Linked DNA regions of Lepisosteus oculatus. The protein of the gene in region 2 interacts with the protein of the main gene of each other region in a pairwise test. Links are inferred from orthologs where the notes say so. Each region holds a gene or a part of one and is shown on either strand. Other genes may lie near its edges.

Evidence for each region. The genes of interacting proteins can lie anywhere in the genome.
Region 1: the proteins of keap1b (region 2) and dpp3 interact in binary tests that used the Homo sapiens proteins (3 or more experiments, as listed by UniProt). The two-hybrid records come from large-scale screens. The link is inferred for Lepisosteus oculatus from reciprocal best matches to the Homo sapiens genes KEAP1 and DPP3.
Region 3: the proteins of keap1b (region 2) and nfe2l1b interact in binary tests that used the Homo sapiens proteins (3 or more experiments, as listed by UniProt). The link is inferred for Lepisosteus oculatus from reciprocal best matches to the Homo sapiens genes KEAP1 and NFE2L1.

The regions. Positions count from the first base shown.
Region 1 is NC_090713.1:22,419,040-22,426,348, reverse strand, and holds the start of dpp3 (dipeptidyl peptidase 3), read right to left. Parts: upstream 3,010-7,309; 5' UTR 2,900-3,009; intron 701-2,899; 5' UTR 667-700; coding exon 397-666; intron 1-396. UniProt on the Homo sapiens protein: Cleaves and degrades bioactive peptides, including angiotensin, Leu-enkephalin and Met-enkephalin. Also cleaves Arg-Arg-beta-naphthylamide (in vitro).
Region 2 is NC_090706.1:16,416,591-16,424,078, reverse strand, and holds the start of keap1b (kelch-like ECH-associated protein 1B), read right to left. Parts: upstream 3,002-7,488; 5' UTR 2,895-3,001; intron 2,462-2,894; exon of another isoform or gene 2,357-2,461; intron 1,100-2,356; exon of another isoform or gene 1,056-1,099; intron 1-1,055. UniProt on the Homo sapiens protein: Substrate-specific adapter of a BCR (BTB-CUL3-RBX1) E3 ubiquitin ligase complex that regulates the response to oxidative stress by targeting NFE2L2/NRF2 for ubiquitination.
Region 3 is NC_090723.1:8,969,051-8,975,901, reverse strand, and holds the start of nfe2l1b (endoplasmic reticulum membrane sensor NFE2L1b), read right to left. Parts: upstream 3,010-6,851; 5' UTR 2,921-3,009; intron 2,838-2,920; exon of another isoform or gene 2,715-2,837; intron 2,502-2,714; exon of another isoform or gene 2,335-2,501; intron 2,329-2,334; exon of another isoform or gene 1,916-2,328; intron 984-1,915; exon of another isoform or gene 883-983; intron 1-882.

The sequences.
Region 1 (7,309 bases), on a different chromosome or scaffold from region 2:
TGGACACACCCACTGCAGACACACTGACCCCTCCTGGACCAGGACTGGACACCCCCACTGCAGACACACTGACCCCTCCTGGACCAGGACTGGACAGCCCCGCTGCAGACACACTGACCCCTCCTGGAACAGGACTGGACACCCCCGCTGCAGACACACTGACCCCTCCTGGACCAGGACTGGACAGCCCTGCTCCAGACACACTGACCCCTCCTGGACCAGGACCGGACAGCCCTGCTGCAGACACAGCGCCCCCTCCTGGACCAGGACTGGACACCCCCGCTGCAGACACACTGACCCTTCCTTGACCAGGACTGGTCACCCCATTATTCATGGGGGATCCCAATACTCTGGCCAGAGGGGGTGTGAAGAGCCGCACCGCCGAGACAGGCTCACCTGGAACTCCTCGGGGGTCAGCCCCGCGGCCGTGGCCACGCCCTCCAGCTCGGCGGGGGGCTGGCGGCGCAGGAGCCGCTGCAGCAGCACGTAGACGGGGGTGGACTCGGGCGAGGTCTGCAGCAGCACGGCCAGGCCGCCGTACCAGGCGGCCCGGGACACGTAGTGGGCGTACAGCTGCTCCCTGGGCGACAGCAGCCGGAAGGCCTCGGCGCAGTCCAGCGCCGCGATCCCGACGTCGTTGGGGAGGTAGTACTGGGAGTCCACCATCTCCGGGCCCCGGCTCAGACGCGGACAGCGAGCTCTGCGGGGCGGCGAGAGAGAGAGAGAGAGAGAGCGCCGGGACGTGAGCCGGGCGGCAGCGGCAGAGGAGGCGCGCGACTGGGGGGGGGCAGTGCCGGAGCCTGTCCCAGCAAGCACTGGGCCGGACAGGACGGCCAGTGCTTTGACGGTCCCCCTGGTCTAATGAGACATAACCTGAACCGCCAGACTGGCTATCCCCCTGTTGTAACAGGACTGGACCTGAACCACCGGACCGGCTGTCCCCCTGGTGTAACAGGACCGGACCTGAACCGCCGGACCGGCTGTCCCCCTGTTGTGACAGGACTGGACCTGACCCGCCGGACCGGCTGTCCCCCTGTTGTGACAGGACCGGACCTGAACCGCCGGACCGGCTGTCCCCCTGGTGTGACAGGACCGGACCTGACCCACAGGACCGGCTGTCCCCCTGGTGTAACAGGACTGGACCTGACCCGCCGGACCGGCTGTCCCCCTGGTGTAACAGGACCGGACCTGAACCGCCGGACCGGCTGTCCCCCTGGTGTGACAGGACCGGACCTGAACCACCGGACCAGCTGTCCTCCTGGTCTAACAAGACCAGACCTGAACTACTGAACCAGCTGTTGGGGCAGCTTGCTCCACACCCCCGCCGCCCTTTGTGTAAAGCAGCCCCCCCCGTCATCACTGGGCAGATCTCACCCCGCTGCTTCCTGAAAGCGTCCTGGGAGTGCGTTTCCGTGTGTGTGTGTGTCCGTGTCCGTGTCCGTGTAGGCGGGCGTGTTTTTTACGGGGTTGGGCGGAGCCCCAGAAACGACACCAAACGCTCGCCAAGACAGCCTTTGGACTTTGCAGTCCCATATAAAACCGACTAGCCTTGGGGACACACCCAACACGCCCAGCAGGGGGCGCAGGACTGCCCTATCAAACAAACACTCCGGCCCGGACTGCGGGCAGCTGCCCTAAACCAGGTACACGACGGGTCTCCACCAGGGGAGTCCGTGATCGCCACACAGTACTGCCCTCAGAGGGCAATTTTTAAAAAGTCCGCCAGGGGTCCCCACTCCTGGTCCAGGAGGGGACGCTGCGTCTGCGGGGTTCCTAGTTCTCTTAGAAACAGCAGCGCCTGAACGGCTGTTTAAGTGGTCCAATTAAAGCCGTTAACGAGCCGACGCAGGTCGTTAAGGGGACTGAAAACCTGCAGGCCACACAGCAGCCCCGCACGACCCAGACTGGGGAGCCCCCAAATAAATTAATTGGAAGGGTCAAGCCTAACAGTATTGTAGATACTGGTATTTTAAACACCCCTACATGGGGTTAGTGATTTCTGCAGTGTTAACCTGAGAGACAGATCACACTCCCACTGCACAGCAATCTGATCCGCTCCAGGTCTTACTCGTTCCTGTTGTACTCATCGTAGGAAAGGGCCGCATTTAAAGACGGGCAAGTCTGCGCACTATGAGCAGACAGACTCTACGTAGACCCAGCACTGCGCGGCTGCCCTGCCTGCGCAAAGCCCGGACTGGATCATCCTGCTACACAGCAGGAGCGCAGCGCCGACTTCTCCGCGGACTGCATCACATATCCCAGACGGGTAGGGAAGGTGTGATTTGTTCAACGGCTAGCAGAGCTAACTGGCGGACGTATCCAGACAGACGGGTTCGGGTCCAGTCCGGACGTCCGAGAACTCGCCAGAACGGAGCCGAGCCGTACCGTTTAGGGCTGGGGAAATGTCACGGTGACACGTTTTTTTCTGTTTGTAGAAAAGTGGAGAAGTAAAAAATCACAACCCCTCCATCGCCAAGTCATGAGATGATTCCCGAGAAATCCCCGGAAAGCGGTCTCGGGTGTGAGCTGCGCTCTCCGGCCCCGGACCGCCAAGTCAGAACCGAGCCGCCAGCCCGGGAGCCGGGCAGCGACAACTGGTCTGTCGCCACTGAAATCGCGACATGAGCCGCACAGAAAGGAAGAAAACAACTACACGGATACGGCAGGGTGCGACTTGTGTGCAGGAGGGGCACAGCGAATCGAAATGAGAATAAATGAAATATTAACGGAGAGGAGCCGAGGCTAAAGTTCACAAAACAGAAGAGATTTTCGTCTCCCCCCCAGAGCTTTCCGGGACGCTCTTGTTTTGACTTTTCGGCTAACGGGAAACGCGTTTTTGTAAAAAAAAAAAAAAAATATAGATATATTTATATAAAACCCACGAACCGATACCGCTCACCTAGATATATTCACAGTGGTTCAACGAGAGTCTTCCCCGCTCGCACCGTCGCTACCCGCAGGCACTTCCGGTTCTCATTCATTGCCCGGCGAGGAGGGCTTCCGGGTTGTCACAGGCGACAGCCGCCTCGACCAATCAGAGCGGAGAACCGCGCCTGCGTCTGGAACCCGATCGGCGCGCCGGTTGCCCAATCACCGTTTGGAAGGACGTCCCGCCTCCCCACTGAGTTCTTAAAGGGAATGCTCCGTTCGTCCGATTTCTTTTTTTTTCTGCACCCTTTAAACATTATAAATTCTATTAAAAGTTCGGCCGGGAGAGACGACCTGGTTTGTCAGCTATCGAGTACACACAAATAAGCGCGAGTGTGGGACGAGATAAACCGCACATTCGCGGTGTCCGTTAACTGTGCTCTGCACCTGCGTGCAATACCAGTACGAGACACTAGACGGCAGCTGTTGATCTTCTAAAGAGCAGCAGCCCGTTTTCAGCGTCTCTAGTTGTTCTCCGCTCTTGCGTTGGGCACTGGGGGGTCGTGGGTTCGACCCTGGGGTGGGAGACCCTGCTGCTGTACCGCTGAACAGTGTACAGGACCCCAGATTGACTGGGGTATCATCTTGGAGAGCACTAGACCCTGGGGATCCCCAGGACCAGGGCTGGAGACCCCTGATTTAGAAACCTGTAATTTGACTGCAGGCTTATTTTTGCATAGGCTTCTATGGGTTCAGGGTTCACATCACTCATTACTTTAGCATGCGTTTACCCTGATCTCACTGGGCTTTACTGTGCTTTTACCCCGATCTCACTGGGCTCTACTGCGCTGTACTGTGCTTTTACCCCGATCTCACTGGGCTCTACTGCGGTGTACTGTGCTTTTACCCCGATCTCACAGGGCTCTACTGTGCTGTACTGTGCTTTTACCCCGATCTCACAGGGCTCTACTGCGCCGTACTGTGCTTTTACCCTGATCTCACCGGGCTCTACTGCGCTGTACTGTGCTTTTACCCTGATCTCACTGGGCTCTGCTGCACTGTACTGTGCTTTTACCCCGATCTCACTGGGCTCTACTGCGCTGTAGTGTGCTTTTACCCTGATCTCACTGGGCTCTGCTGCACTGTACTGTGCTTTTACCCCGATCTCAGTGGGCTCTGCTGCGCTGTACTGTGCTTTTACCCCGATCTCACTGGGCTCTACTGCACTGTACTGTGCTTTTACCCTGATCTCACCGGGCTCTACTGCGCTGTACTGTGCTTTTACCCTGATCTCACTGGGCTCTGCTGCACTGTACTGTGCTTTTACCCCGATCTCACTGGGCTCTGCTGCGCTGTACTGTGCTTTTACCCCGATCTCACAGGGCTCTACTGCGCCGTACTGTGCTTTTACCCTGATCTCACCGGGCTCTACTGCGCTGTACTGTGCTTTTACCCTGATCTCACTGGGCTCTGCTGCACTGTACTGTGCTTTTACCCCGATCTCACTGGGCTCTGCTGCGCTGTACTGTGCTTTTACCCCGATCTCACAGGGCTCTACTGCGCCGTACTGTGCTTTTACCCTGATCTCACCGGGCTCTACTGCGCTGTACTGTGCTTTTACCCTGATCTCACTGGGCTCTGCTGCACTGTACTGTGCTTTTACCCTGATCTCACTGGGCTCTGCTGCACTGTGCTGTGCTTTTACCCTGATCTCACTGGGCTCTACTGTGCTATACTGTGCTTTTACCCTGATATCACTGGGCTCTACTGCGCTGTACTGTGCTTTTACCCCGATCTCACTGGGCTCTGCTGCACTGTGCTGTGCTTTTACCCTGATCTCACTGGGCTCTACTGTGCTATACTGTGCTTTTACCCTGATCTCACTGGGCTCTACTGCGCTGTACTGTGCTTTTACCCCGATCTCACTGGGCTCTGCTGCGCTGTACTGTGCTTTTACCCCGATCTCCCTGGGCTCTTCTGCGCTGTACTGTGCTTTTACCCCGATCTCACTGGGCTCTACTACGCTGGACTGTGCTTTTACCCCGATCTCACTGGGCTGTACTGCGCTGGACTGTGCTTTTACCCCGATCTCACTGGGCTGTACTGCGCTGGACTGTGCTTTTACCCCGATCTTACTGGGCTCTACTGCACTGTACTGTGCTTTTAGCCCGATCTCACTGGGCTCTACTGCATTGTACTGTGCTTTTAGCCCGATCTCACTGGGCTCTACTGCATTGTACTGTGCTTTTACCCCGATCTCACTGGGCTCTGCTAGTTTTCCTCTGTCTTTTCCTGCACTGCCCCCCTCTCTGGGCCCGTCTGTTTCTCAGGAAGCCCGTCTGTCCCTCCTGCCCTCACTCTCCCTCTGCCCTTGCTCGGTGCTGTGTTCACGCTCCATTAACGTCCTAATCCTACCTCCCCTGGGGCCGAACAGGCCTCTCTGGGCTTCCCTAAACAGGAAACGGCCTGATTGCGTTATTAAGCCTGGGTCTAGGACCGCCCGATCCCGCCTTTCATCCCCCCCGCCACTCATTCCCAGCGCCTGGGCTGGCCAGATCGCCAGCGGAGATAAACAGGGGTCACCCCTCCGTGCCCGAGCCCCTCCAGGCGCCCTGGCAGCGCGCTCTGAAGTCGGATCACGCCCCCCCGCCGCCGCGCGCCCGCAGAGAAAAACACGACATGCCGGTGTTACCTTTCGCGGGGCGGGGCCCTATCGGCGAAGGTGTGTGAAGCCCGCGCCACACTGAAATGCTTCCCCCCACCTCCTCCCCGGCCCGCAACGTCAGTTCCCGCCCCTGGTGTGAAAAAGCAAGACCCGAGCCAGCTCAGGGAAGGGGAAGGTCGGGGATGCCGTGCCGGGGGACCTCGTTAAAGGGGCGCTAACGAGGGCTGTCGACAGCGTGGGCGTTTCAGGCAGCAGGGCCCGTGTGCCAGCGTGCAGTCAGCAGGAAACGGGACCGGGGGGATGTTTTGACTGCGCTGGGGAGGGGGCCGTGATTAGAGAGCGCCGTGCCCTCTCTCTCTGGGCCCCACGGTCCAGAAGCCAGGGCTCGGGGGAAACCATTACCAGGGACAGGGTGGCACTGGGGGGGATAAACACCCATCCCTTCTGGGCCCGGGTCATCCATCATCCCCTGTCACAGCATTCCGGCCCGGACAACAAGGCCCAGGACAGGAATCGCGGAGAAAGGCTTTTATTTCTCATTCCGCAGTCTCAAGCCTGTCCCGGGCTGGGCCGGCCCACGCTGCAGAACTTGGTGCGGCCGGGTTGTGGGTTGTGGACCGCACTGGGGCGGGTCACACTGCAGGGCACTGGACCGGACTGGTCCGAATGGAGACCTAGGCTGTTCAACACAGAGGTCACAACGGGCGAGAGGGGTCTGGAATTAGACTGGGATGACCTGCGTCAGTCCGGAGAGGTGTGGGCTGGACCGGACCGAGTCAGACTGAGATCTAGGGAACAGCGTAGTGGGCTGAACCGGGTTTGATTTGGCCCAGACTGGACTGCACGGGACCGCGATGGAGTGGAATGGGCTAGGTCAGATTGGACCGGTGCACAGGACTGTTGGGTTAGAGTGCACTAGAAGAGACTAGAAGTGCCTGCCCATCCACACCCGAAGAAGGCTCCACAGCCGAAACGTTGTGTTTCCTTTCATCGCTCTTCTGCGGGGAATAAACCTGCACTTGTTCCTTTGCAGCCAGCTCCCCTCCTGAACTACTTGAATTATTATCCTGATTGATTACTGATCAAACCTTTAGTTGAACAGCAAGACTCATAGGAGGTTATTCCCACCCCTCTCTGTTCCTCGTTAACTAGTTGCCAATTAAGACCAGACAGGAAGTACACGAGGAACAGGAGGCCTCGCACCCACAACCGCCATTAACGGGACTCAGACCCGGCCTTCCTGGTCATGCACTGTGGCACAGCACAGACAAGGCTGGTTAAACCCACAGCACATCTGTGGAAAAAACACAGTAAAACAACCCACAGAGTGTGATACATTCACTATGGTAAACTGTCAGAAGGCTGGACTGTCCCAGACTGGACTGGACTGGACTGGACCAATCCATACTGAGCCAGACTGGAACGGACTGGACTGAGCCAGACTGGACTGGACTGGACTGAACTGAGCTATACTGAGCCAGACTGGACTGGACTGACCAGCAGTGAAAAAGAACAGGCTGGACTGTGGGAAGAGCCAGACTGGACTGGACTGGACTGGACCGAGCCACACTGAGCCAGACTGGACTGGACTGAACTGGCAGTGAGAACGGACTCGGCTGAGCCAGACTGGACTGGACTGACCGGCAAGTGAGGGAGAACGGGCTGAACTGTGGAATGAGCCAGAAGGGACTGGACTGGAGTGGACCGAGCCATACTGAGCCAGACTGGACTGGACTGGACTGGACCGAGCCATACTGAGCCAGACTGGACTGGACT
Region 2 (7,488 bases):
TCATGTGGGTTTCTGCTCCGGGTTTCCTCCCACAGTCCACAGACATAGTGGTAATTTAATTGGCCCTTAATTGGTAGGTCAATTTCTACACAAATTGCACAGGTGTGTGTGTATTTTTATGTCTGTGTGTGCCCTATCCCTGTGATGGACCGGCCCCCTTCAAGGATGTACCCCGTCTTGTGCCTTTTGCTTCCTGGGATAGGCTCCAGCTCTGCTGCGGCCCTGAATGTGACAGAACAATTAGGACAGAAATTTGTCTTGGCCCCCCAGCCACAGGAAAAGGATGCTGGGACCCCCCCGGGAGAGAGATGAATGTGAAAAGTGGGGTCTGCTTATGATATATACAACTTTCAAGAACTGATGTTGAGAATGATTATGATTTAGAACAGCTGTGGCACAGAGTGTTGCCTTTCCTCCCATAGTTCAGTTAAGAACTCTCATTTATTAATCTTCTCTTCATCTAGTAAATAGGACATCTAAAATTGGACCTTCCAAGTCAGGACAAGCTATACAACTGCAAAGAAATGGGAGAGGAGGAATGGGCTGGCAAGTATTTCAACCAATCACCTTGTGAGTTCGATTAAGGATTCAATTAAGTAATTAAGCTTGTTTGGCATGAAAGTGAGCAGGTGTATGTAATTTATATCAGTCCTTTGAGAGCTTACAGCTGTGAAGATACAATTGTTTGGGCAGTGATCAGCACTCCAGGTCCTGAAGTGTCAAAAAAAATGTTTTTTCATTATACCTCAGCTCTTAATGGCTTGAGAAAAAATAGATTGCATAAAATAAATGAGATGTGTAATGATTCGTTAACATGAATAGGGCTTTCAAAACTTGCCAAGTCACAAATATATATACACATTTAAAAAGCCAAGTGTTTTCACGTGAAAATAAAACGTGCGTTCGTGTAATTAGCTGTTAGCGTGATCCACTCGTGTCTTAGACTGTGGGAGGCACTGGGAAATACAGTGGGCTGTCAGTGGGTCACGTAAACATGACCCAGTCCTCCCTTCTCATTTAATTTATATTAAAAGCAACATCGTTCAACATGACCTGCAACTTTCTAATTCCAATAGTTGGGCCGGATATAAGGAATCAGGTAGTGTACAGCTTCGTCATCTCTAGAAAACTGAAAAAATAAGAGGCGTGTGATTGTGTAAGACTTCTGTGTATGAAATAAGCATTGGTGTGCGGCGCATAAAGAATTTGGAAGAACAAGCATAAAAAAAAGACTTCAGTGGTTAAAAAATGGACTCGGTGCGCTGGAATATTTTTTGTTTTTCTTCTTCACAAGCGGGAGCTTTATGCACCATAACATATACCTGTAAAGGTCTAAAACTTAAGGCGATGATAGGTTATAGTGCCACGGTCAGGTTTACAAAACCAGGTCAACAAATGTTCGCGTTACAGCCAGTCTGGTGTAAGTCTTTATATTATTTAACCGTAGTCTATACAGCAAACCTGGCCTTTATTTTTAACGTCTCGCTAATATGAGTGTTGCATGTGGTTACTTATAATATTAAACAGGATAATACACAGGGTTACCTTGCAATAATGGCCTAGAATCCCCGGACTAGAGTAGAGATTTGTTACCCCACCCCGCGATACCGACTTCGCTTGAGAAAACACGCGTCCCCCGGTAAATGAAAAACACTGCTGCAAACAAGGGAACAGTGACACGCCTCGCGTTTATTTTTAATGTTCCGGTAATTAAAACCCGTCATCGAGTGTTATATTCATATGTAAGAGATATGAATCGAGACCAAGCTTAACACTGAAAAGGTGGAACACAAATTGAAAGTTTCGGTCAAAGTACAGTAATATTTTAATAACCGTTTCCTCTTTCGATGTAAAATTAACTAAACTCTGAAAACGAACGCAAAGGGTCTCTTCCATAATCTGGGACTATGGACTATGGAAAATAACTTATTTACTTATCGTGTAGATAATGGTTTTCCCACACAGAAAACATCCGATGGATGAGTTGAATGAGTTAACATACAGCAGTAAAAGCGGCTCAAATGGACCTTTAAAATATTTTAATTTGTGTCTACACCACAAAATGAGAGTGCAAATGTCTCCTCGCATCTAATAGGAGTTAATGTATAAAAACGCACGTTAGTCTGCGGTTCCAGAAGCTACTTAAATATGATCGAAGCCACTAAAGTTAACACTGTCACTTACACTTTGTTACGTAATGGTCTATTTTGTATGGGCTACACATCTAGCCGAGCCAAAACACTTTTAAGAAGGTTTGGATAAAAAAATGCACCGTTTCTTAAAGCATAGAAGCGGATCGAAAAACAAACTGCAATTATTTTTTGCATAAAATCCCTTCCCCCCCTTAGTGACTCACCTTTCCATGACCAGTTAGCGAAGAGAGAGACACTACTGATTACAAACTGTACCAGAGCGCAAACAACACTTCTCTGGACGCTACAGTACTTTAAGCAGTATAAAAAAAAGCGATCAGCCCTGTAGTTTTGTCATCCTGTTGCATAACCAACTGACAGTCACAAACACGTAAAAAAGACATCAGCGATGATGCATAGCGCTTACTATACTACATTAGAGTAATATTTCCACAGCAATGCTGTGGAATCGGTATTCATATTTTTCGTTTTTCATGCACCAAACTAAAACAGAAAAAACTCCAGTAATTAATTAGCTCACAAGCAAGTATTGCTTTGTTGATTAAGTATTCGCAGGCTCTTCTGACACCATCTGTGTTCTGCTACTGTAAGCTGTTTATCGCGGCTCGCAAAGCAAGCGTGTCTATGATGATAACATGCTTTAGTCACCGAGAACAAAAAGCCCGATACATCAGGAAAAACATTCAAATCGCAAACCGCGTTAAAAGACGCCTTCGCTCGATACAGGCGGTGGTTACTTACAGAAATCTTTTGTAGCACAAGACGTACATTTCTATCGCTGCTCAGTGTTTGCCGTGAATTTAGAGGAAAAAAGGGGGGGGCGGGCAAGAAGGGGGGGTTGAGGGAAGACGTAACTCACCATGACTAAGCATTGTACGGACCTTCTCGCTGTGCCAAAATAAGAGCCCCACCGCTAACAACTGGGGCTACCTCATGTTGGCAGAAAGGGAGAGAGACTCTTACGGAAGAGGACCAGGAAAATAATACAGAAGGAAAGGGGAAATATAGAAATGCCCTCAGCCCTGGCACTCAGCCTAGCCTGGTCCAGATTACATGAATGCAGTGCGCTATACAACTGTTCAGATCTGTCTTTGGTTGGAGAGAATAACAGCCCCTTTATGGATCAGTCATCCGTGATCGTGTGCCAAACATCTCTACCTTCCACCACGTAGTGACTGCATACGCTTTCGTTACTCTGTATTTTGTTTTTAATTCTGTGCTGCCATTATTGTATACCTGCGTCAAAACAGGAACTCCCCTTGAAGTAATTTATTGCCATTCGTATGCTGTGCCCAGCAGATGCCGTCATCGATTTGTCTTATTCAAATGGCAAAACTAACACTTTATTAAAAATACAGTGTATATATTGCTGACAGGGAGTGTTGTATTTGTCTAAGTGCGTACTGTACGTGTGACAGTTGCGGTTTTAAGACGCAAAACAGAAGATAATATTACACCAGCGGTTTTGAATGATCAATTGCGAATTACTGTCTATTCTTCTGTCTTCCGCAGTTGATCTTAGCTCGCGATCATTTAATCGAACCCCAGATTTTAGTTTCTTATCAATTGGACCTTTTTGGATTGTTTTCAGTCCTGGATATGTCAGATTTTTTTTTCATCACAAAATCTGCGAGTAACTTGAAAACATTGTCTTTGCAGGAGAAGAAAATGTCGAATATTGCTTATATTGCTGTGATGTGAGATCAGTTAAGCGATTGAAGACCAGCAGGTATTGGGTAGGGTGACACGTGACCAGAGCCGTGGACCACTGCTTTCGAGCACGCGTGTCCACTCATGGTCCTGGAAGGCTACTGAGTTTGCAGTTTTCCTGTTACTGTTCTTGTGTTGTAACTGGTGTTTTGTTTACTTTGACCGTTAAGCACTTTGAGAAGATTCTTTTAGGGCTCTATATAGGTTTATTATTATTTCATGCCCTGGAGTGCTGGATGCATCTGGGTGACACACAGTAATAATTATTAGTAATAATTGCTTACGCTTACATAGTACTTTTCTGGACACTCCACCCAAAGCGCTTTACAGGTAATGGGGATCCCCTCCACCACCACCACTGCACAGCCCCACCTGGATGATGCAACGGCAGGCATACAGCTATCAGTGGGGAGGAGAACAGAGTAATGAAGCCAGTTCATAGATGGGGATTATTAGGAGGCCATGATTGGTAAAAGCCAAGGGGAAATTCGGCCAGGATGCCAGGGTAACACCCCTACTCTTTTCGAGAAACACCCTGGGACTCTTATTGACCACAGAGAGTCAGGACCCCGGTTTTATGTCTCATCCGAAGGACAGCGCCTTTTTACAGTATAGTGTCCCTGTCACTATAGTGGGGCATTAGGACCGACATAGACTGCAGAGTGAGCGCCCCCTGCTGGCCCCACTAACACCTTAGTCATTATGTCCCAGCAGCCACGCAGCACAAATCAAATTAAGCTAGAGCTAGAATGAAGCTCTATAGATCAGGGGTCCCCAGTCCTGGTCCAGGGCACCCCCATACCTGCTGGTTTCTGTTCCACCTGCACACTCAATCAAAGTGTGCAGGTGGCTTAATAGACCCAATTATACGTTTAATTTGAACACTTCCATTGTTTTCTGTTCATAAACATGTTGTAAGTTGCCTTTCAGCTATTCTGTTTTGTAAGTAACTTAAGATCCACCTTTAGTCAGAAAAAAAAACCCATGCCAAGCAATTGGTTCAAATCGGGGTTGACCTGTGAGGGTCCCCAAGACTAAGACTGGGAATCCCCGCTAAAGACACAGTGGTCCCCCTGGGTTTGAGACTGGACTCCTCTGCTTTAGAGCTAAGGCTGTGACATGCTGACACAGGGGTGGGCATAATCTTCAGTGATGCAGCCCGTTCCTGGCAAGGATTCTGGGATTGCCAAGGGCTCAGACATATGAAGTGACACACGCTTGCATTTAAGCGTCTTTTAAAAATGGCCTCCAGAATGCAATTTTTTTTTTTTTGGAAGACGGTCTGATCACGTTAAATAATGTGTGGGTCCGGAGAATTAGAGAGAGGAATTCCGGGATGTACAGAAGCTTTAACTGAATCGTTGATTGATTTCATTCATTTTCATAACAGTCTGCTATTGAAGGGTTGTAGTTATAATAATAATTGCTCACACTTATATAGCGCTTTTCTGGGCACTCCACTCAAAGCGCTTTACAGGTAATGGGGACTCCCCTCCACCACCACCGATGTGCAGCATCCACCTGTTCACCATATAACCTGCAGGGCAGTGACTGCAGAGGAGGTACAGACCAGGCCAGATCAGAACAGACCCTGTCTTGTCAGTAGTGGAGTGTGTAGGAATAGGTAACGCTGTGTGGAAAATCTCCCTTTTGAGTTACTTACACTTATATAGCACTTTCTGGACCCTCCACTCCAAGCACGTTTTAGGTAATGGGGACCATAGCGCACCGGTACACTCACCACACACCAGCTATCATTGGGGAGGAGAGCAGAGTGATGAAGCCAGTTCATAGATGGGGATTATTAGGAGGCCATGATTGGTAAAGGCCAATGGGAATTTTGGCCAGGACACCAAGATAACACCCCTACTCTTCTCGAGAAACACCCTGGGACCACAGAGAGTCAGGACCTCGGTTTGCGTCTCATCCAAAGGACAGTGCCTTTCTACAGTATAGTGTCCCCATCACTATACTAGGGCATCAGGACCCACATATCCGGGATAGCCAGCAGAGGAATCCTACTCCGTTGGGCTCCTGAGCAAGACCCTTAACCCAAGCTGCTCCAGGGGCACCGTACAAATGGCTGACCCTGCGCTCTGACCCCAACCTTCTCTCCCTGTCTGTGTGTCTCATGTAGAGCAAGTTGGGTATGCGAAAAGATAAATTCCTAATGCAAGAAATTGTATATGGCCAATAAAGTGACCTTATAGACCACAGGGTGAGCGCCCCCTACTGCCCCCCCTAACACCTCTTTCAGGAACAACCTTAGCTTTCCCAGGAGTCTGCCATCCGGGTGCTGACCAGGCTCACACCTGCTGAGTTTCAGTGGGTTGCAGGGTGATATGGCTGCTGGCGAGTTGAAACAGGAATGTATCGGGCCTTTGGGATTTTGTGTTATGGAGTCCCAGATTCAGGATCCAGTATCTGTCCTAAATCTCTGGTCTGTGGGAAGGTAGCCTCTGGCCTGTTCCTGGATAAAAACAATCATGAGTGAAACGTGACTGGAATTATCTCTTTGACTTCCAGGGTCGATGTTACCTATGGTAAGCCTCCATAGGAGTACAGACAGTATTTATACATGGCCATCAGGCTTTCTTACCTGTTGCTCCGCGTCTACGCCAACGCTTCCTGCAAATTTATGTATCTTACTAAAAACGGCTGGTTTTAAAAAGAGTCGCCTGCAATTCTAGCGTCTACTTGTAGAAAAAAGGATGCCCACAAGGCGTCACTAGTGCGCCATGTGTTTCCGTTTATGAAATGTCTACAAATGTTTTTTTTTTTAATTTGCAAGAACCGTTCAATCGTTTTGAGTTTAATGACACGATCTACAATTCACAATCACAAAGACCGCTTCCTATGACAGGCTGACCTGTTATAGAGTGATTTTTCCAGCTTGTCCTCAAGAAATGTCATTTGCCGTGTTTTGCGTAGGGTAAGAGGGTGGCGGGGTGGTGCAGAGGTTAGCACTGCTGCCTCCCGGCACTACAGCCCTGGGGTCTTGGGTTCAATTCTGGACCTGGGGTGCTGTCTGTGTGGAATTTGAATGTTCTCCCCCATTCACGTGGGTGTCCTGAAGGCGCTCCAGTAGGTTAATTGGCTTCAGGGAAGATTGGTCCTGGTGTGAGTGTGTGTCTGTGTCTGTGTGTGCCCTGCGATGGACTGCTGTCCCAGTCTGGGGTGTATCCCGCCTTGTGCCTCTTGCTTCCCAGGACAGGCGCTGGGCCACCTTAACCCTGAGTTGGATGAAATGGTTAGAAAATGGGTGGGTGAATGGGGAAAGAACATGGACAACTGGAGATTTTGAAAGCGGCCTGGAAGTCTGGGGTTGCGATAGGAGGGGCCAACAGTTGTGATATTTGAGGTTTGTTTTAAAGTCATGTGTTGCCCATTTGTGTAATGAGTCGTCTTTGCTACACCTCCCTCTCCTGCTGCCCATTCTGAGGGCCCACCATAACTTAGTTCGTGGGTTTGGTCTTGGACTACCTAGGCTTGATTTATCCAGGTGAATCCCTTATACATCTGGCAATTTGTAAACAGAACCTGGACCCAGAGAGCTATATAGCTCAGGTGAACTGTGCGATTAAAATCTCGAGCTTCAGGAGCGGAGCCTTTCACGTCTGCGTCT
Region 3 (6,851 bases), on a different chromosome or scaffold from region 2:
CACCAGCGAGCGGTTTCTCTGGGGCCTTGATCTGAAGCGGGGGCTCCCACACTCGGCCCCACCTTGGATCACCGGCCCCTGAACCGATCCGAGACGTTTCAATGGAATATTCCGTTGCTAGTCACAAGTCTGGGATTTTATTTCACTTACAAAACACAACGGTTAAAGCTCCAGTGTGTTTAAGCGCTGGGGGGGGAGGGGGGCTGCTCAAATGAATCTTATTATTATAACGTGAGAGAGGCTGGATTGTGTAATCGAGGGCTTGGCTGGAACAAAACCCAACAGGCGTGTGGGTCACACAGGGACAGGCTTGGGAACCCCTGCCGTGGATCTGGAGTCTTCTCCCAGCGGGCAGGTCAAGAGCTCCCCAGTGAGGCAGATTAGCCCCTTAACAAGACCCAGCAAACCCGCAAGCCGCTCTTTTTTTTTGTTTTTTTTAATCGATAGAATTAAACGTTCATTTGAGGTGCAACAGCAGCTCGGCCACAGGAGGCTCCTGTTGCCACGGGCAACGGCGGACTAGACAACAAAACAGCCCCCCGGGCAGGCACGTTGCACTGGACACCGGGCCGCGAGGCGTCGGGTTACACTGCCAAAAACACGAGTGTCCGCGGGGTCAGGTCTTCATTTCGCAACTGCGCTTAGAAACTAACTCCCCCTCCTCCTCCCAGCCCCAACTACCACTGAGGGGTTGCAATTTTAAAAAGAAATGACTGAAACGCTTTTCATGTCCCACCCTTTTCACTCGCAAACCTATGCAAAGGCACGTGTTTGTGAAGTTCCCTCCATGAGCAAAGGAATAGTCCTTCTAAACGAAAGGGCAACAGTTTCCTCTCGAGTCCGATTCCCACGCCGGCTCAGAGCAGCGGTGCGCTGACCTACTTTGTCAAAGTGCTGGAGACGCGGCGGCGGTTGAACTGGCGGGGTGATGTAATCCGCCCGTTTCCCGGGAAATAGCCGGCCTTCTCCCGCCGGCACCCAGCCCAGCCCCCCTCTAACTGCACTTAGCCTACACAACCTGTCGGGACCGCGGGGTACACAAACGATTGTTAACGTGACACGGCCTGGGTGGGGGATGCATATTTACTAGCGATCAGCTGACTGTAGACCACGCGAGTATTTAAAGAGCAAACACCACGATAAACCGATTGTCAACGCCAGGGTTGTCCTACTTACTCTCGCAAGCCAAGCATGATACATGAAACGTTTGTCACACTGTCACATCTCAAATCGGTCTCTTATTCTGGGAGCACCTGACTACCCCGCACCCCACCCGTGACGGCTCCACGCTCAGACAGAACCAAGCCGACGCTTCACACGATTCGCGTCGCCTCGGGTCGCAGATAAAACTTCTAGAACTTGTTAAAAGCCCAGAGTTTCACTTCACCAAGCTCGTCTCCAATGCCTGAGCTAGAAATGTAGATTACTTTCTATTTCGTTAACTTTCGTAATCGGATTAGTATATAACAGACACGTGCTCATCTACTGTACCAAGATGTATTTTGTAATATTAAGAATTCATGTCCATGTCCGTGAATTTCAATCATTCACTAGATATGCCTACGAATTTAAGTCATACATTCAAACATTTCTGGGGCTCATACTACACAATTTAACATTTTCAGCTAAAATCGGTATTAGCTTTTACTAAATGTATTCACCGTTAAGCCACTGCACCGAATGGGCAAGACTATCAATACTGCCAGTGCGTCATCTAGCTTTTATATTTTGACAAGGAAACAAAAAACATTTATCGACACCCGCTTGCTCATGAGGGATGAAATGTTCAAGAATCGAACCCAATCCGTGGATGTTATTAACAATAACTGAAAGGAAATTATTAAAAAGCAATAACTGGACTTCCTCCACAGCAAAGACAGCTGACCACTCTTCATCCGCACGGACTCATGAATACCTTCTTAAGGTCTTTTTAAGTTTTGCAACTGGAAATAAATCCTTCTTTGCTTTCCCAGGAAAGGCAGTGGCCATACAAAGCTCTTCTTGCACCAAAACAGAAAAACGAAGAAACCAGCAATATCGGTCACAAGATCCGAGGGATGGAGTGCTTTTGCTCAACGAGGTAGATCCCAATTTCAAATGTCTGTTCAATAACAGTTTCTGAAAAGCTAGATATTAGTCGATCAACCTTTAAAAAATGGCCAATAATGTAATATTATTTCGAAAGGTCTCTCTGGCCTTTCGAAAAAACGAAACCCCGTCTCCAGTCGGCTGATTCCGCAACTGTCCCGTCCCGTCTGGCTTGTGTCATAAAGTTACCGAGGTTGTAATGAAGGTGAAAAATGCGAGAACGAAAATTTATAAGGTTTCTCTTACATGTCTTCCCCTCCCAAAGTGACGTTACCAGCTCCGTTACTTTCCTTCTTCCCTGTGCCCCCCTCCTCCTCCTAAATAACCCTCCCCACCAGCCGTCCCGTACTCGAAACTGACAAAAATACGAGCGTGGCCGCCCTCGTCGCAAACACCAACACAAACCAGGAAGTGCCCAGCCGGCAGACTTCCGCTATCGCTACCTCGGCAACAACGCTTAGCAACAAGTGGTGCCATGGTGACTGACACCCCAGACAGCCAATTGAAATCCAAGAAAGAAGCCCACGCGCCGGACTCTCCCTCTGACCGGCCAATGGAGATTGGATGGGGGCAGGCCGCTGTGGTTATGGGAGAGGGAAGTAGAGGGAGGCAATAGGAGTGAGTTATTTTCTTTAGCTGTCTGTTACAAACACAAAGCAATACATTTGGCTTCAAGCATTTTGTCTAAAACCCTTCTTTAGATGAGAAAAGCGAACCCAACACTTGACAATTTCCTGAACACCAACACGGTAACTAACACAGGCTTTTCCTTCACCATTTAGGAGTGGTAACTGAATTGTAAATCTTTTGCGTCAAAACCTCCGATACTTACAGTGTGTTGATTTTGACAGTCCGTGCTCTGGCAAGATACAAAACCGAGTCCTTGAATTCGCTATCCGCTCGTAGACGTATTTCCTTTCCTATTTAATGTCGGCTAATGTTGATATTTGTCTCGCCGTCTACTACTCAGGCCCATCGTGACTTGCAAAAAATGTTCTGCTACTACAGCTGCACGTTTTTCCCAAGGCGCATGCGTAGAATATTCCAGGCGCGCTGCAGATGACGTTTGCCGCCCCCGCCTCGTGCTGAATATTCATATTGTGCGTCAGGGAATGACGCAATACCGGAAGTCCAATGTGTTCGTCCCGCCTCTTGGAGTAGCTGTGTGATTTGTAAGTTGACAGGGTCGTCCAGGTCGTGTTTCTGGAGGATGGGTGGATGCGCAGGTTTTCCAGGTCTCTTTGAAGTAATTGTACTTGAAGAGCTGGGAGAAGCTGATCCAGTTATGCCAGATGGTTTAGTTCCTTAAGAGCGGAGTTACAATGCAAACCCACAGGCACGCCAGCCCTCACAGGGAGAAATCCGTTGTTTAATGCGGATTAAAAAGATTTACAGCCTCTAACAGTCATTTTGTTTATTAGTTAATTGTAGCTAACAGTGACTTCATTGTTATTCTCCTGGGTAAATATGTTCTTGACGTTGCTTGGAATAATCAAATAAATTTTGAAGAAGAAAATTTAAAAAAGATAACATATACTCATGGAAAATATGAGTTACTATGTCACCTTTTGTCATTTGGCCTGAGTCCCCTTTGGAGATGGGAAACGTATCCTAATGTTTGCACAAAGGAGGCTTAACCCCAACTGCTCCAGGGGTGCTGTATAAATAGCTGACCCTGCTGACCTCTGACCCCAAGCTTCTCTCCCTGTCTGTGTCTCATGGAGAGCAAGCTGGGGTCTGTGAAAAGATGACTTCCTAATGCAAGAAATTGTATATGGCTAATAAAGTGATCTTATCTTATCTTATCTAACACATTTTAATTTTCCTTTAGGTAAACATGCTGAACCTGAATGCTGTTTCATATTGGTTGGCAGGCAAGGGGAGATACACTCTCAATGTGAGACCTATCTTCTTTTTCAACAGTATCACTTCAAACATATTTAGTGTATGATCATATTGTGAAAGGGTCAGCATTGCTGCCTCACAGCGCTGGGGCCCTGGTGTCAGTTCCAGGCCCGGGCAGCTGTCTGAGTGGAGTTTGCATGCTCTCCCTGTGTTCGTGTGCATCTCTGGGTGCTCCGGTTTCCTCTCACAGTCCAAAGCCATGCTGGAAGGTTAATTGGCGGTTGGGAAAACTGGTGTGAGCGTGCCTGTGTTTGTGTCTCTGTCTGCCCTGTGATGGGTTGGCGTTCCGCCCATATTTTGGGCCCGTTGCTTGCTGGGATAGTTTGAAGACGGATGGATAATACTGTGAAGCAGACCAAAACTGAGAAGGTAAACGCAGTAAGACCGAGGCTCCGGGATCAGACGAGGGAAATCAGAGGACATGCATTCGAGACTCAGAACAGCAGGTTGCTGTACTTCTCCACACAGAAGGTTGTAGGTAGAACAAGGCACCCAGACATGTGGTTAAAGACGTCCCCCTGGGGTACCTCATGACACTGTCAGGTTCCAAACACGGGTGGTAAGTCAAAAATTCCTCCACTTGTTTGCTCCCCACTTGTTTTTATGGTCCTAAGAGGAACTACATTCTCTACCATGTGACATTAGTGACTTGTGCACTTTTAATTCTATAGGAGAAAAAGATCTGGAGCGTTTCAGTGTGAGCCTCAGGAACAGCTTGTCAAAGCCGATTTGGATTTTTCAAATGTTTTTACACTGCAAGAATTCATCCAGAGGGCTAGCCAGTAACCACCCTGTAGGAGGCATCTCTACAGTGACTGCCACGCTGGATCAACTGCAAATAAAATGAATAAATTGATCTGTATGCCTTGTTAAGTGTGTTTTGACTACAGGGATCTTAAAAATAAAATGTTACAGAACTTTGTTTTGATTTTGATTTTGTAAGAAAGGATAACATTATATATACATTTCTTTATAATTCAAGGTTTTATTTTTAATATCTGGAACATGTACAACATATCTAATATTATGCTTCAGATTCTACCACATTTCTCATCTGCATCTTTATTAAGTTTTGCTTCCTGAGCTGCGTGAAAGCAGGCGTTATCTGAGCCAGCGCTCAGAATTTTAAAGTGTCTTATTGTTAAGTGTAGGATCAGGTTATGAAGGTTTTTAAAGACTTAAAAATATCCTTCTCTCGTTAGGTGTTTCACTGAGGAATGTTGAAACTTTCCAGGCCAATATTAAGGAACGTGAACGTGTCACAACCAGAAAAAAGCAAAAAAAGCTTTCGGCTGTTATTTATTTTGCCTGTTGAAACCCTATACATTGACCCCAGATTATCATGGCTGTATCACGTAATTTTGTTCATAAATTAGAAAACCTTTAAAAAGAGGCTGTGGTGTTGCCGTTGCTAACAGGACACATTACTGTGTCCTGTTAGACCCTCTCCCGGGAATTTTATAGTGAGCCGTTAGCTGGCCTAGCACCCATGTCAAAATGCCAGGTAAATGTGTTTTCAGCGACCTCTGGTTAGCAGATGAAAAATACAAGCTATGGCTCCAAAAAGATTAAATTATGCAGGAAAAGAAGTTCTGGAAAGGTTTGGAGTTTTGTTGGTAGAAATGAGTGGGAACACTGTTAAAAAACACTGTAATGAGCCGTGTTTTTCTGCACTAGGGCTTCAAATAAACAGCCACCCAGAGCCAGGCCAAAACTGCCTAAGGTGGGTGAAATTATGTAGGAGTTATGTTCGAGTCCAGCAGCAAATCAGAAGACCAGAAAGGGCTGAGTGGGATCCCACCCCACTGAGTCAATAACATAGAGTGCTCTGAAAATAAAGACAGGAATAATGGTGCATCTGAGCTGCAAATCTCCTATCACTTCACGGAAATTATTAGGTTCAAGGGAAGGCATGGGATAACTTTCACCAAATGCACTTCTCTTAGCTACTCTGTCAGGAATAGAACAGACAGTCCCTGGATGCTTTTCAAGGCCCAGAACAAACTCGGCAACGGAAGGGAAAAGAAAGTCCGTAACCAGAGATGTTTGGCCCGTGTAGTTCACTTGCCTGCAAGTGGACAATTGATCCAAAGACCTCTCCCTGCCGTCTCCACACCCCCACAACCCTTGGTCAACGCTACTGTAAAGATGTGATCTTGAAGAGCAGCCGTTCCCAAGTAATTACGTACTGATTTTTGTCTCAGGAGATTTCCAAGGGTTATGTCTGTCAAATTAAATGAGCTGTGTGTGTAAGGAAGATAGTGCAAGTCTGGGATATGCAGAAAACTGCGCATGAATAACAAGTACAGTAGTATCTCGTCATTTCTGCGCACACTGCCCTCTGTCGGGGGCCTAAGGGAAGACCGCCGTCAGTCGGGGTTGGTCGCTGGAGGGGAGAACAGTGGAGACTATACATCACAGCACCTGGACCACAGAAGATGAGTAACAACAAGAATCGTTAGATTTCTCCTGCCTGTGTTCCTCCAGGAGGCTGAATTCAAAATCTGTAGCTAATGAAGGGAAGGTGAAACTGAATGTTACAGCTGCGTTATTTCAGCAGCTATTTCTAACCGTTCAGCTCTTTTCCTCCGACACATTTTCTCCCCCTAACACCCACTTTCCAGCTGCGCCCGTACGTTTCTAATTGATCGAACATTAGTTATTACCGCCAACACGGTTCTGCGCAATGGCTTGGGTGTTCAAATAAGAAAACTGCTCTCCAGCGTCTCGCAGGAGGCTGGCGAGGTCTTGACGAGCTATCCCAGGGTGCCGTAGTGCCTTGAATAAAATTACCAACCGCTGGAGTCGGAAAGGGGGGACGTGTGTTAAAATGCATAGTAGTACACTACGGGGTAGGC